Sus scrofa: one gene and its partners. Each later gene encodes a partner of the first gene's protein in a complex. Links are inferred from orthologs where the notes say so. Each region holds a gene or a part of one and is shown in the gene's direction. Other genes may lie near its edges. The genes, in order: CDK9, EAF2 and EAF1.

The links.
Region 2: CDK9 (region 1) and EAF2 share a complex: the UniProt entries of both Homo sapiens proteins name them as parts of the super elongation complex. The link is inferred for Sus scrofa from reciprocal best matches to the Homo sapiens genes CDK9 and EAF2.
Region 3: CDK9 (region 1) and EAF1 share a complex: the UniProt entries of both Homo sapiens proteins name them as parts of the super elongation complex. The link is inferred for Sus scrofa from reciprocal best matches to the Homo sapiens genes CDK9 and EAF1.

Annotation. Positions count from the first base shown.
Region 1 is NC_010443.5:268,275,608-268,279,915, forward strand, and holds the start of CDK9 (cyclin-dependent kinase 9), read left to right. Parts: upstream 1-1,475; coding exon 1,476-1,567; intron 1,568-2,031; coding exon 2,032-2,113; intron 2,114-2,859; coding exon 2,860-2,950; intron 2,951-3,317; coding exon 3,318-3,484; intron 3,485-3,595; coding exon 3,596-3,767; intron 3,768-3,920; coding exon 3,921-4,069; intron 4,070-4,308. UniProt on the Homo sapiens protein: Protein kinase involved in the regulation of transcription.
Region 2 is NC_010455.5:138,650,584-138,654,124, reverse strand, and holds part of EAF2 (ELL-associated factor 2), read left to right. Parts: intron 1-2,456; coding exon 2,457-2,711; intron 2,712-3,541. UniProt on the Homo sapiens protein: Acts as a transcriptional transactivator of TCEA1 elongation activity. Acts as a transcriptional transactivator of ELL and ELL2 elongation activities. Potent inducer of apoptosis in prostatic and non-prostatic cell lines.
Region 3 is NC_010455.5:2,653,369-2,657,653, forward strand, and holds the start of EAF1 (ELL-associated factor 1), read left to right. Parts: upstream 1-1,460; coding exon 1,461-1,830; intron 1,831-3,651; coding exon 3,652-3,746; intron 3,747-4,285. Other genes in the region: METTL6 (methyltransferase-like protein 6), read right to left, coding at 247-471. UniProt on the Homo sapiens protein: Acts as a transcriptional transactivator of ELL and ELL2 elongation activities.

The DNA of each region.
Region 1 (4,308 bases):
GAATGGTGGGCTTGGAACTTGGCATGGACAGCGGGCCTCAAACAGTACCACTGCTATACTCCTGGACAGACTGTAAATAGCCTGAGTCAGAGAATCCTTTTCAAATTCAGACAGACAAGGTTCGAGTCCCAGCTTTGTCACTGTGTAACCTCGGGCAAATGATTTCACCTCTCTGAGCCTCGATGTGCTCTTCTATAAAATGGGTTAGTGACCCTAACTTATGGGGCTGTTGATTCAGGATTCCGCAGGAATGCCCAGCACTTGCTGAACACACAAGGGTTGTCGAATAAATGCTGGCTACTTTTGTGACTACCGACCCAGGCACGACCATCTTGGGCACAGCTCAGCTGGGACGGGGGTCCTGGGCCTCATCCCTGCCTCCCAGAGAATAGGGGGCCCGGGAGTTGCTCGCTTGCCGCCTCCAATGTCGCCGCGCCCCCTGGCGGCCATCGGTTGCCATATCAACGGCGGCCGGCGGGGGCCCGGAGAGGCGGGCGGTGGGGGCCGTTCTCTCCTCTCTGGACCCGAGGCTGCTTCCTCGGCGCCTCCCTCCTTTGCCTGTAGGGGGGCACCCGGAGCTGGGAAGGAAGGGGTTCCCTGAAGCTGCTGGCATGTGTGGGTAAACTGAGGCACGCGGCGAGTCGCCCAGCAGCCAGGTGTGGAGCGCGGGGCCCCACCTCCGAAGGCGGAGGAGGGGCCGCGGGCGGTGACGCGCCGAGGGCGGCGGGCGGACAGCGGGCGGGCGGGCGGCAGTGGCGGCGGCGGCGGCGGCGGCGGCAGCGGCGGCAGGTGCGGCCGCGAAGGGTGGGAGGGAGGAGGGAGGGGGCGGGCGGAGGGGGAGGGGAGGGCGAGGCCGGGGCACCTCCCCCTTTATAACGCGCCCCCTCCCGGGCTCTCGGGCCGCCTCCTCGTCGGCTCTTTCCGTCTGGCCCCCTCGTCCGGCCGCCCCGGGCCCGGGCCCGGCCAGGGAGCCCCCAGGCCGAGGCTTGGGGGGCGCCCCCCTCCCGCCGCCCCGCGCAGCCTGGCGGAGGCGGCGCCGTCGGAGGAGGAGGAGCAGGGCACTGCGGCTGGCCCCGGATCGGGCGCCAGAGCGGCAGCGGCTTCGGCAGCAGCGGCGGCCCGAGCCGATGCAGCGGGACGCACCACCCCGAGCCCCAGCCCCGGCGCCCCGGCTCCCCGCGCCCCCGATCGGGGCCGCCGCCAGCACTGGCGGCGGCGGAGGCGGGGGCAGCGGCGGTGGCGGAGGCGCCTCTGCAGCTCCGGCTCCTCCTGGCCTCCCGGGAACTACAAGTCCCAGGGGGCCTGGCGGCGGACGGCGGACGGAAGAGGCGGGGTCGGCGCCGCGGGGCCGGAAGTGGCCGTGGAGGCGGAAGTGGCGCGGCCGCGGAGGGGCCTGGAGCACGGCGGCGGGACCCGGAGCGGGAGCGGCGGCGGCAGCGGCGGCTGGAGGTGGCGGCGGCGCACTGGAGGCGGCCATGGCAAAGCAGTACGACTCGGTGGAGTGCCCCTTTTGTGATGAGGTGACCAAATATGAGAAGCTCGCTAAAATCGGCCAAGGCACCTTCGGGTAAGGCTGGGCCCCCAGGGACCAGGAGCCCTGAGCCTGCACCCCTCTGGACCGATGTCGAGACGCCCAGGCCCGTGTCCAGTTGGTTGGGAAGCCACCTAGCCGCAAACTTGTCCCCTGGTCTCGCTAGGCCGCACCGCAGCCCGCCCGTGCCTGACCGAGCCGGCTGGCGGGGAGGAGCCTGAGGCCCTTGATGGGAGGCAGGGAGGGGTTGCAGAGAGGAGCCTGTGAGTGGAGCGGGATCTCTCCCAGCAGCGGCGCCTGGGTGAGGAGAAAGGGCAAAGGGAAGGAAATAGAGGCTCGGAGAGGGACCGAAGATACCGCGCGTTGGTGTAGCCGAGGGCCCTCTGTACCCGGCCCAGCCCCGCCCGGGATTCCCTTTCCTGCCCTCCTCTGGTGGGGGCGGGGCGGGCCCTGCGGAAACGGCCTCAAGAGTCCTCTTGGGTCCCCCTTTCGGCCTGCAGGGAGGTGTTTAAGGCAAAGCACCGCAAGACCGGCCAAAAGGTGGCTCTGAAGAAGGTACTGATGGAGAACGAGAAGGAGGGGGTGAGTACGGGGCGGGTGGGCAGGCCTGCTAGGTCCCTTGGGCAGAGGTTGGGTTTCCACCCTGCTTCTGGGACTTTCATGCTGAGGTTGAATTTATGTGTTTAGGAATTTCTGTGTTCTATGGAATCTGACTTTCAGGTTAAATCTTTTAATTCAAATGTTTTAAAGAGTTTGATGTTTCATTCTCAGGTGCACGTGGTTGGTGCCAGGAGGGGGAGCTCATGCTTGCACTGAGTGCACCCTGGTTCCTGAAGTTAGGAAGTTTTTAAACACTTTTCCTTTGGGCTTTACTTTTGTCGAATGTTTAAAAAAAAAAATCATATGTCATAGCCCTAAAAGAGTAACTGGTATTCAATTGAAATGCTCCCCCCCCCATCGTAGCTCTAGTCCAGTTTCCCAAAGACCTGCTTCTTTATTTTTTGTCTTGTTAACCATGTAACAGGTTAAACACGGGTGCAGAGCTCTACATTATGAGTTTAAAGAAACCGTGCAGCATTTAATGGCTAGTCATAAAGCATTTGTGTGAAGTAGCAAAACTTCAAGTCATCGTCTGAAACCAGCTCCCGAAGGGGTACTTTCTACTAGTATGCCCGTGTTCTAAATATGGCATCTGAGGCAGCTCATTTCAGAGCCCACGATTTGACTCTGTCTCCCAACCTTCGACCCTTACTGTGGATCCCATGGCCAGTTCCTGGGTCAGTAGTGTGCTCTCCCGCTCTTGACCTCCTTGTCTTTCTCTCACCCAGTTCCCCATCACGGCCTTGCGGGAAATCAAGATCCTCCAGCTCCTAAAACACGAGAACGTGGTCAACCTGATTGAGATCTGTCGAACCAAAGGTAAGCTGTTTGGATCTTGCCCTCCGTTTTCAGGTGGGGAGAATGAGGCTTCTCGCCTCAGGTTTTGCTGGCGGAGCTGGAACCGGACCCACTTCACTGCCTCTTCTTAACCCAGACACACCACCTGCAACTGCTTTCCCGGGTCCTTTTGTGGGAGCAGGTGCTTCCCCAGGGCCTGCCACAGCGCCCGGCCCAGAGAAGCACTCAGAAAATATTTTACCCGTGCAGGAATGGGCAGCCACATACCCACTGTCCATAGGTTGGAGGGGGTAGGAGCTGGTTGTGGGAAGATGAGTTGCGTGTGAGGTTTTTGATTTTTTTTTTTTTTTCCCACCCCTCTCTTTCTCCCTCGTGCTTCCTGACTCAGCTTCCCCCTATAACCGCTGCAAAGGCAGCATATACCTGGTGTTTGACTTCTGTGAACATGACCTCGCCGGGCTGCTGAGCAACGTCTTAGTCAAGTTCACGCTGTCGGAGATCAAGCGGGTCATGCAGATGTTGCTCAATGGCCTCTACTACATCCACAGGAACAAGGTGGGGGCCGGGGTCGGGGGTCGGGGGGAGACCCAGGCTGGCCTGGGCTCTCCGTGCGGGGTGGGTGCGGCTCAGGGCCCCTGGCTACCCCCGCCCGTGTGCTTCCCGCAGATCCTGCACCGGGACATGAAGGCGGCCAACGTGCTCATCACCCGCGACGGGGTGCTGAAGCTGGCCGACTTCGGGCTGGCCCGGGCCTTCAGCCTTGCCAAGAACAGCCAGCCCAACCGCTACACCAACCGTGTGGTGACGCTCTGGTACCGGCCCCCGGAGCTGTTGCTCGGTGAGGACGCTTGAGCAGGCCTAGGAGGGGCAGGAGGCTGGGCCCTTAGCCAGCCTCCGCTCCCCCCTGCCTGGGCTTCTTGAGCTGCCGGCCCTGGGGCCCCGCGCCTCCGGAGGCCGGGCTCAAGGGGCCCTCCTGGTGTGCTCTTCTCAGGGGAGCGGGACTACGGCCCCCCCATCGACCTGTGGGGTGCCGGGTGCATCATGGCGGAGATGTGGACACGCAGCCCCATCATGCAGGGCAACACGGAGCAGCACCAGCTTGCCCTCATCAGCCAGCTCTGTGGCTCCATCACCCCTGAGGTGCGTCGCCAGGCTGTCTGGGCCCCGCAGGCTGCAGAGATCCAGACCTCTCCTTGGTAGAGGAGGGGCAGGGCGGGGAGCAGAGGGAGAGGTGGCTGGCGGAGGGTCACAATCTGCTCTTTGGGGCCACATGGACTGTGTTCACCGGCTCCATCACCGGTTAGGTCAATGCTTTTGGGCGAGGCTTCTGAACCTTTCAGAGCTGAGCTCCTCTTCCGGGCAACAGCCGGCTGTATCGG
Region 2 (3,541 bases), on another chromosome or scaffold:
GATGATTTTTTGCCCTGGGTTGTCTTTGTGTGTTGTATGATGTTTACCAATATCTCTGCCTTCACCACTTGCCGCCAGCTGTGGTAACCAAAGATGTCTCCAGACATGGCCAGATTTCTCCCTGGATGACAAATTCATACCTGGTTGAAAACTGCTATTATATATGATTAAATTAGAGTTACTAAAATTTTGTTTAAAATTTTTGCATCTTTGTTTATAAGAATATTAATTTGTTTGCTTTTTTTGGTAATGTCTTTATTGTGTTTTATATAAGTAATTCTGGCCCTAAGGAATGAGTTGGGAAGTGTTTTTTCTTCTTTAATTATGCAGAAGAATTTGTATCAAACTGGTATAATTTCTTCCTTAAATGACTGATAGAATTCACTAGTGAAGTCATTTGTGACTGGAGATTTATGTGTGGGATATGGGAGTGCTGTAACTGCAACTCAGTTTTTTTAAGATTATTTAGGGGTATCTAGGTTTTCTGTTTGTTCTTGAGCTAACTTGAGTTAGTTTGTGCTTTCAAAGAATTGATCCATTTCATCTAATTTGTTGCGTTTATGGTCATAAAGTAGTTCACAGTGTTCTTTCCTATTCATTTAATGTTGTAGGATCTATAGTGTTGTCACCTCTTTCACTTCTGATATTAATAATTTATGTCTAGTATCTTTTTTTCCTGATGAACCTGGTTGAGTTTTATAAACAGTATTTATTTCAGACAATCAGCTTTTGGTTTCATTTATTTTCACTATTTTTTCTGTTGTCTTGTTTTTGGCTTTTACTGTTTTTTTTCCTTCTACTTAAGTTTTAATTTGCTCTTCCTTCTCTATCTTCTTAAGGTACAGCTTAGCTCATTTAATTGAGATCTTCTCTTTTCCCCAATATAATCACTTAAGTTTTTAAATTTCTCTTCAGACTGTACTTTTTTTATTTCCCCAATACATTATTTTTTTCTACTTTAGTTGTATTCCACAGATTTGGATAAATTGTGTTTTTCATTTTCATTCCTTTAGAAGTATTTTCTAAAATCTTTTTGATTTCTTCTTTGAACCATGGGTTTTTTAGAAGTGTGCAAATACTTGGAAATTATCTAGGTTCAATTTATGAAATTTTTACTTTTGCTTTGTTTTGGTAGATAAAATACTCTGTATAAATTCAACCTCTTAAAATGTATTGTGGGACAAGATGGCATAGACTTATCTATTTATGCTTCTCCCAACTACATGAAACTATAAACCTTGGAAATAACACAGAGACAACCAAGGGAGAACCCTTAAAGTTTGAAAGAGGAAGGTAATCTGGTTAGGGACCCCAGGAAGGACTAGGGGAACAGTATGGTCAGGGCATCTTATAATCTCTCCCTCCCAGAAGATGGCAGTTCAGGCCCAACATGTCTCGACCCCCAAGTTACCTACAGAAGGCATTTCAGATAGGTTCATTCTTCCCCCATATTCAAAGGTGTATCCAGCAACATCAGGCTAACTTGGACACATGTTCCCACCAAAACACACACACACACACACACACACACACACACACACACAATGGTAACTAATGTGAGGTTATGTGTTAAGTAACTTGATTATGGTAATCATTTTACAGTGTATATGTACATCAAAACGCTAAGTTATATACATTCAGTATATGAAAAATTTTTGCCAATTATACTTCAATAAAGCTGATAAAATTCGTCTGTGTATGTAGTGTTGCATTACATGTATTGAGGAATGAAAAGAATTAGAGGATGGTTTCTATCAATATAGATTTTAATTTTTACAATTTAAAATGTTCACATTCTCTTTTATATTTTATTTGAATTACGTGTGTATTTAAGTATAAAGGTATAAGTAAATGTAGTGTTCAAATTTAGATATTGCCTATGTCTTATACTTTTCACAATCCCAACATTGAATGTGGCTTGGCTTGATGGTAAAGGAGATTTTTTCTTTTATTTTGGTGGGGAAGTCTGTGGACTATGTGTGTATGTTGTCCATAAATTGGACAAGGAGAAAGAAGTACTACCAGAGAAGAGCTGGGAAAGAAAGGTTTGAGTCCAGAGATGCAACTTTTGCTAGAAAAGCTGCCATTTTAAAAAAATCTTGGTTGGGTGGTAACAAAGAGCACACTTGAGCTCCAATAATAGATGAATTGGGTGTCAAAATCTAAAATGCCAGTTTCCAAGCAGAATTTGAAAACATATACGGTCACAAGAAAGTGTTAGGAGTGATTATTCCTGGGGAGTAGTATTAAAGGAATTTGAGGAGAGAGTAGAAAGAGGGATTTTCCTTTTCATTTTGAGTAGGAAAGAAGCTTTTTAAATGTAAATATATGTTTAGTCTTATTTATTCCTCATCAACGGTTTATTAGAAACTAACACATTCAAATTTTATTATATTTATTTAATACTTACAGTTAATGTTATTGATTTAACCTATTGACTTCTATTTTATTTTCAGAACTGAAGGCAGAAGCTAGTCTAATGGACCAGATGAGTAGTTGCGATAGTTCATCGGATTCCAAAAGTTCATCATCTTCAAGTAGTGAGGATAGTTCCAGTGATTCAGAAGCCGAAGAGTGCAGATCCTCTCCTGATCCAGGGAATTATATCTCGGAACATCCTACCATGTCTGCCATGCCACAGTGCAGGACTCCTGAGATTGATGCCAGTCGAAATAAATATTATGACAATGGCCTTATGATGAATACTTTAAGTAAGTATACATAAGCATGAGTAATCGGAAAAGTAGAATTCACAGTGGATCCATACTGATCATGCTTTAAAATTTGGATCAAGAGAAAGACTTCTTTTATTCATCTGACAGTCTTAACCATTACCTTCTTATTGAATTATTCATTTTCTTTCGCCTCTGTGACAGAATGCCTTTCTGGTTTTTCTCGTCTTTCTAGATGCTTTTCTGTCTCTTCTTTTCTGGTTTATAATATTTCACACAGTCTCTAGAGCTGGAGTTCTTCAAGGCTTAATTCTAGGTCCTTTTTTCTTATTCCATATGCTTTCCTCCATATTTTTCTGCAGTCAATTCTTATGTACAGATAACTTATAAATTTGTATCTCTGACCTAAACCTCTGAGCTCCAGAGACATAAGTCCAATATCATCTCATATTCAATGGCATTTCAAATTCACTTTATCAAAAATAAATTTATAATCTTTGGCTAACTGTGTGCCTAACGAAAGTCAGAATTTACCTAGCTATGCAAAGCAGGAGCCTGATTTTATTCTAGGATTGACTTCCTCTCCCTCTTTATAGTACAGTCAATCCTTCGCCATCTTGTTTATTTTACCTCCTTATTCTCAGATTGATCTACTTCTCTACAACTCTACCACTATCACACTAGTGAAACCTAACCGTTATTTATTACTTTAACTATGCAATGATTTCCTATCAGGTTCACCCCTTATCTACTCAAACTCATTTTTTATCCACTAAGTACATTGCATCCATACTTTCATAATTCAAATATAATTTGTCTCTCCTACTTTAAACTTTTCAATAGCGTATAATATCTTTTAAGGATAGAAA
Region 3 (4,285 bases), on another chromosome or scaffold:
ATCGTTAACCCACTGAGCAAGGGCAGGTATCGAACCCGCAACCTCATGGTTTCTCATGGATTCGTTAACCACTGCGCCACGACGGGAACTCCAACAGTGTATTTCTAAGGTACAAAAACTTATGAAGCGTTTTGACAGGCTTCATATATTCTCTACCTCACACTGCCCGTGAGAATGCAATAAAACACCCCTCTTCCACACATTCTTAATGAAAGACAGTTCAAATAAGGCGTAATATTAGTTTACCTCTCTACAAGATCTGAGCTCCTCAAACTCTCTGGTGGTCCAGTGTCTATCTTTGAAGAAATTAGTGCTATTTCTTTTGTAAAAAAGGTCCCAGTTTTTCTGAGCCTCTTTTTCCAGTTTTTGCTGTTTAAAATCAGACACTAAAGCCTGGTCTCTTTTCAGTTTTTCCTCTTCTTCAGAGCTGAGAACCCTTGCCTGCAGCCCTTTCCTTTGCAAAGAAGCCATCTCCTAAGTTGATGGTAATATATTTAACACTGCTGGATATTCTCCCTTCGCGAATAACCCGAGAAATTCAAGCAGATACTACACAGGCAGAGTTTTCTCAGATGCGGCCCCTCTCTTTGGGTTCAGGCCTCAGGCAACGTCGGGTGTTTTGCAGGAAAAAAGAATGAGATTCTGGTTGGGGGTTCTGGAACAGTTTTAAAGATGCTGAGTTAGTGGTTCTAACACAGTTTTTTCACCAAACAGTTCAATTCACCAAATGTTTACTAGTGGCCGACCCTACACAAAACCCTGCCCCGCTATAAGAAAAGAGGTCATAAAGAAGACCCAGACACTGCCCTTGCCTACAGAGGGCTGACATTCAGCTGCCAGGGCGCTCTCACGCATAGAACTCTAATTCAAACCTGAATAAGTCAACTATTATAATAAATCGCTTTAGTTTAGAACAGAGTCACTCCCAAGAACTAAGAAACCTTTGGGGGAAGATACTCGTCAATGTTCGGTGCCCGTGAAAGGGGCGACTTAACAGCTGCCGGTACTGGAGAAGGGTGGTCAATTCACAGACAGAAGCAGTGTCACCGTTTCCAAGGAACACGGAGCTAAGCCTGGGAGGCCTCAGTCGCAGAGTTTCACGAAGCAGAGGGGCGTCGCTTTCCAGGAACTGAGGCCCTCGCGCAGTCGTCCGCGCAAAGGGAAGGAAGAGACCCAGGGACGCGTGGTGTGGGGTTCCAGGACACCGGGGATAACCTGGCCGCCCGGCCACGAGCACCTGTGAGCGCTTGTGAGGAGCCCTGTTCACCGAGACCGCCGCGCGCCAGCGCCCAGTCTTCAGTTCCTAGGTTCCCCTGGAGGGTGGCGCCGGGCGCGCTAAGCCCTCACCCAGGCCCAACCGCGTGAGTAGAATTTGGGAGCCACCGCGGTAAAACCCAGCGGCTGGACAAACCAGTCTGCAGCACCTCGCATTGGGCTTCTCCCAGCGGAGTCTTTTTGCCATGGCACCGCCCCCGCCACTTCCGCTTCGAGACCGGAAGTCCCTCCCCGGCGCCGGAAGTTCCGCGGCCCCGCTTCCTCACAGTTGTCCCCCGCCCCGACGCGCACGCCAGGACTTATTTCCAGCCGCAGGTGGGCACCGGCTCGGTTCTCCGCTCGCCCCGGGGTGCTGTCCCGGGAGCGCTGCTCCCTCGAACTCAGGCGCCGGCAGCTCCGGCCGCGGGCGCGCCAGGAGGGCGCCGGGGCGGGCGCGCGGCCCGTGCGGGGCCATGAACGGGACGGCCAACCCTCTGCTGGACCGCGAGGAGCACCGCCTGCGGCTTGGGGAGAGCTTCGAGAATCGGCCGCGGGCCTCCTTCCACACCATCCGCTGTGAGTCCGCATCCCGCAGCCGCCACAGGCCGACCTCGATCCCGTAGCCCGGGGAGCCTGCCAGCATCAGTTCCCTTCCTATCTCCCCGGATCCGCAGGGACATTTTGCTTTTTCCCGGTTCACTCTTCCCAAACAAGACTTTTCGTCCCTCCCTCCTGTTCCTCTGCCTCGTGGTCCCAAACACGTCTTCCAAAGACCATTGGCCCCCTTTCCTGCCAGGTCCAGCCCTCCCGCGTGCCGAACCTACCCCTCTTGCTGCCTAAAGGTTGCCGAGTCCACATCAGGGTTCAGCTCGTTTCCCTAGGCCCCCCACTCCACCACGACCCACTAGGGGATCTCCACGATTCAAAGATTTTTCCCGTTTGCTTGGGAGCTGCCTCCACTCTCTCCTATTCCATTTTCTTCTGTTGTCCTCACTTTTCTCGTATGTTTTGGTTCTGGCCGCCCTAACGCCGCGCTTCATCCCCACTGCAAACATCAGAAACCGCATTCCCCTCTGCGCCGCATCAGTCTTCCTCCTCCATCTCTTCGTGCCAGCTTTTCGTCTGCCTTTGAGGTTACCTGGACTACCCCGACTTTTCCTCGGGACCATGTCCCTTGTGGGTGAGGAATAAAATTGGAATTTGTGAGCCAAGAATAAGTTACAGCTTGGTCTATGTTTGGAAGCAGAAGCAGCAGACATAAGGAATGTGAAAATAGTCATTATGCTGGGTCTCCTTTTTCTCCTTGATTACAGACTCTGTTGAGGGAGGGCCCTTCTACTCTGTGTCCTGAGTAAAGACTTGGCTGACTGAGCATCTCTCTGATTCACAAACTCCTGGCTTCCCATCCTGGTAGCCCTAATGCTGGTTAAGACTTGTTTTTCTGAGAGGAACTCTCAGAGGTGACTCAACACCTTGGAAGAGGGTGTGTTAGATAATGATGTTCTGTCTTCATGTGGTCACTTGCACCGTCATTCCTCTTCTTCCTACTGACAGCAGATCAGCCCTTTCTGAGGGAGGATATTGAGGATGTGAGGGAGCGTCATTTCCTGAGGAGGTTATTTGTTGGTAGCGTGAAGGAAAGTGAGGAGCTTAAGAAAGATACTTCAAAGAGGCACCTGGCCTGCAGGTTGAGGCAAATGTGTGTTAAAAGTAAGAGTGCTGTTCAGGTTGTGCTTTAACTGCAATCCAGAGACACAGGCAGGATTAACCTTTGGAAATACAGTTCAGCGGTCATCCCCAAACATCTATAGGCGTGTCCTTATTAAAGCTATGGAACTTGAGTGTGGCAGATCCTAATGTTGACAGTTCCTATGCAAAATGAAATCAGCGCATATGATGCTGTAGCTTTTCATTTTTCACATTGGGTTTTACAATCACAGGATTTAAAAACTGTGCTCTGTTGCTTTTGATCCTTGTAATTACCCTAGTAAAACATTCATTATGAATAAGGCATTAATTTTCATCTGTCACTTGAGAGAGGGGAATATCTTTGCTTAATAAAATAGTATATACATTCTAGCTTTTTTTTTTCTTCAAAATAATCCAGTGGAGATGGGAGGAAAAGTATGTGGAGGTATAGCTGCAACAAGATTATCTTGGAGCTGGTAATTATTGAAGCTGGGTGGTGGTACACAGGAGCTCGTTGTATTGTTCTCTCTGCTTTTGTGTATGAGAAGTTTTCCACAATGAAATACTTTTTTAGAAACTCCTAACTGGTTTGTATTTTCCATTTATCTGAGTCATAAAAAATTTCAATTCTTAAGTGAAAATGCCCCAGAAGCCTTTGCTTAGTATTAGTAACCTGGTAGATAAATGTTTTTTTCCCTTTCCCTTTAGATGACTTTAAGCCGGCATCTATAGACACTTCCTGTGAAGGAGAGCTCCAGGTCGGCAAAGGAGATGAAGTCACAATTACGCTGCCGCATATCCCTGTGGGTTTTATTCCATCGTTGTTGTTTCTAATGTGGAATCACAGTGGATCTTCATATTCTACATTATTGCAATTTGATTTTCCTCCTGTTTAAGAATGTGTAGATTCCTAAAATGCCAGTTTGGGGGATGGAGTGGGATAGAATTCACATTTCCCATGTACTTGAGTAAAAATAATTCTTTGCCATTTTCCCCAAGCTCCCTTTTTCTCCATTTATTCCAGATGTCCTATGCGGACAACTAACCCCTCCTTTAGATGTTGTTTAACCGCCCCCCCAGCCCCTGCCCTGCCCCCCAGCAGCTATAGAGAGAAAGACCCAGGCACCTGGAGGATGTAAAGTGGCAACAGCTTAGGAGCATGGGGAGGGAGGGCGGGGTCAGCCTGGTTCCTGTATATGGCAAGGGGTGATGTGCATTCTGGTAGCTTTCGGCCAGAACCAGAGGTTCAGAACATTCAACTTATTTAGGGGCAAGAAACCCAGTTAAAAGCTGAAGGGAGAACTTTTGCAGAGAGACTCTTTCGAAGCTTTGCCCAAGGCAG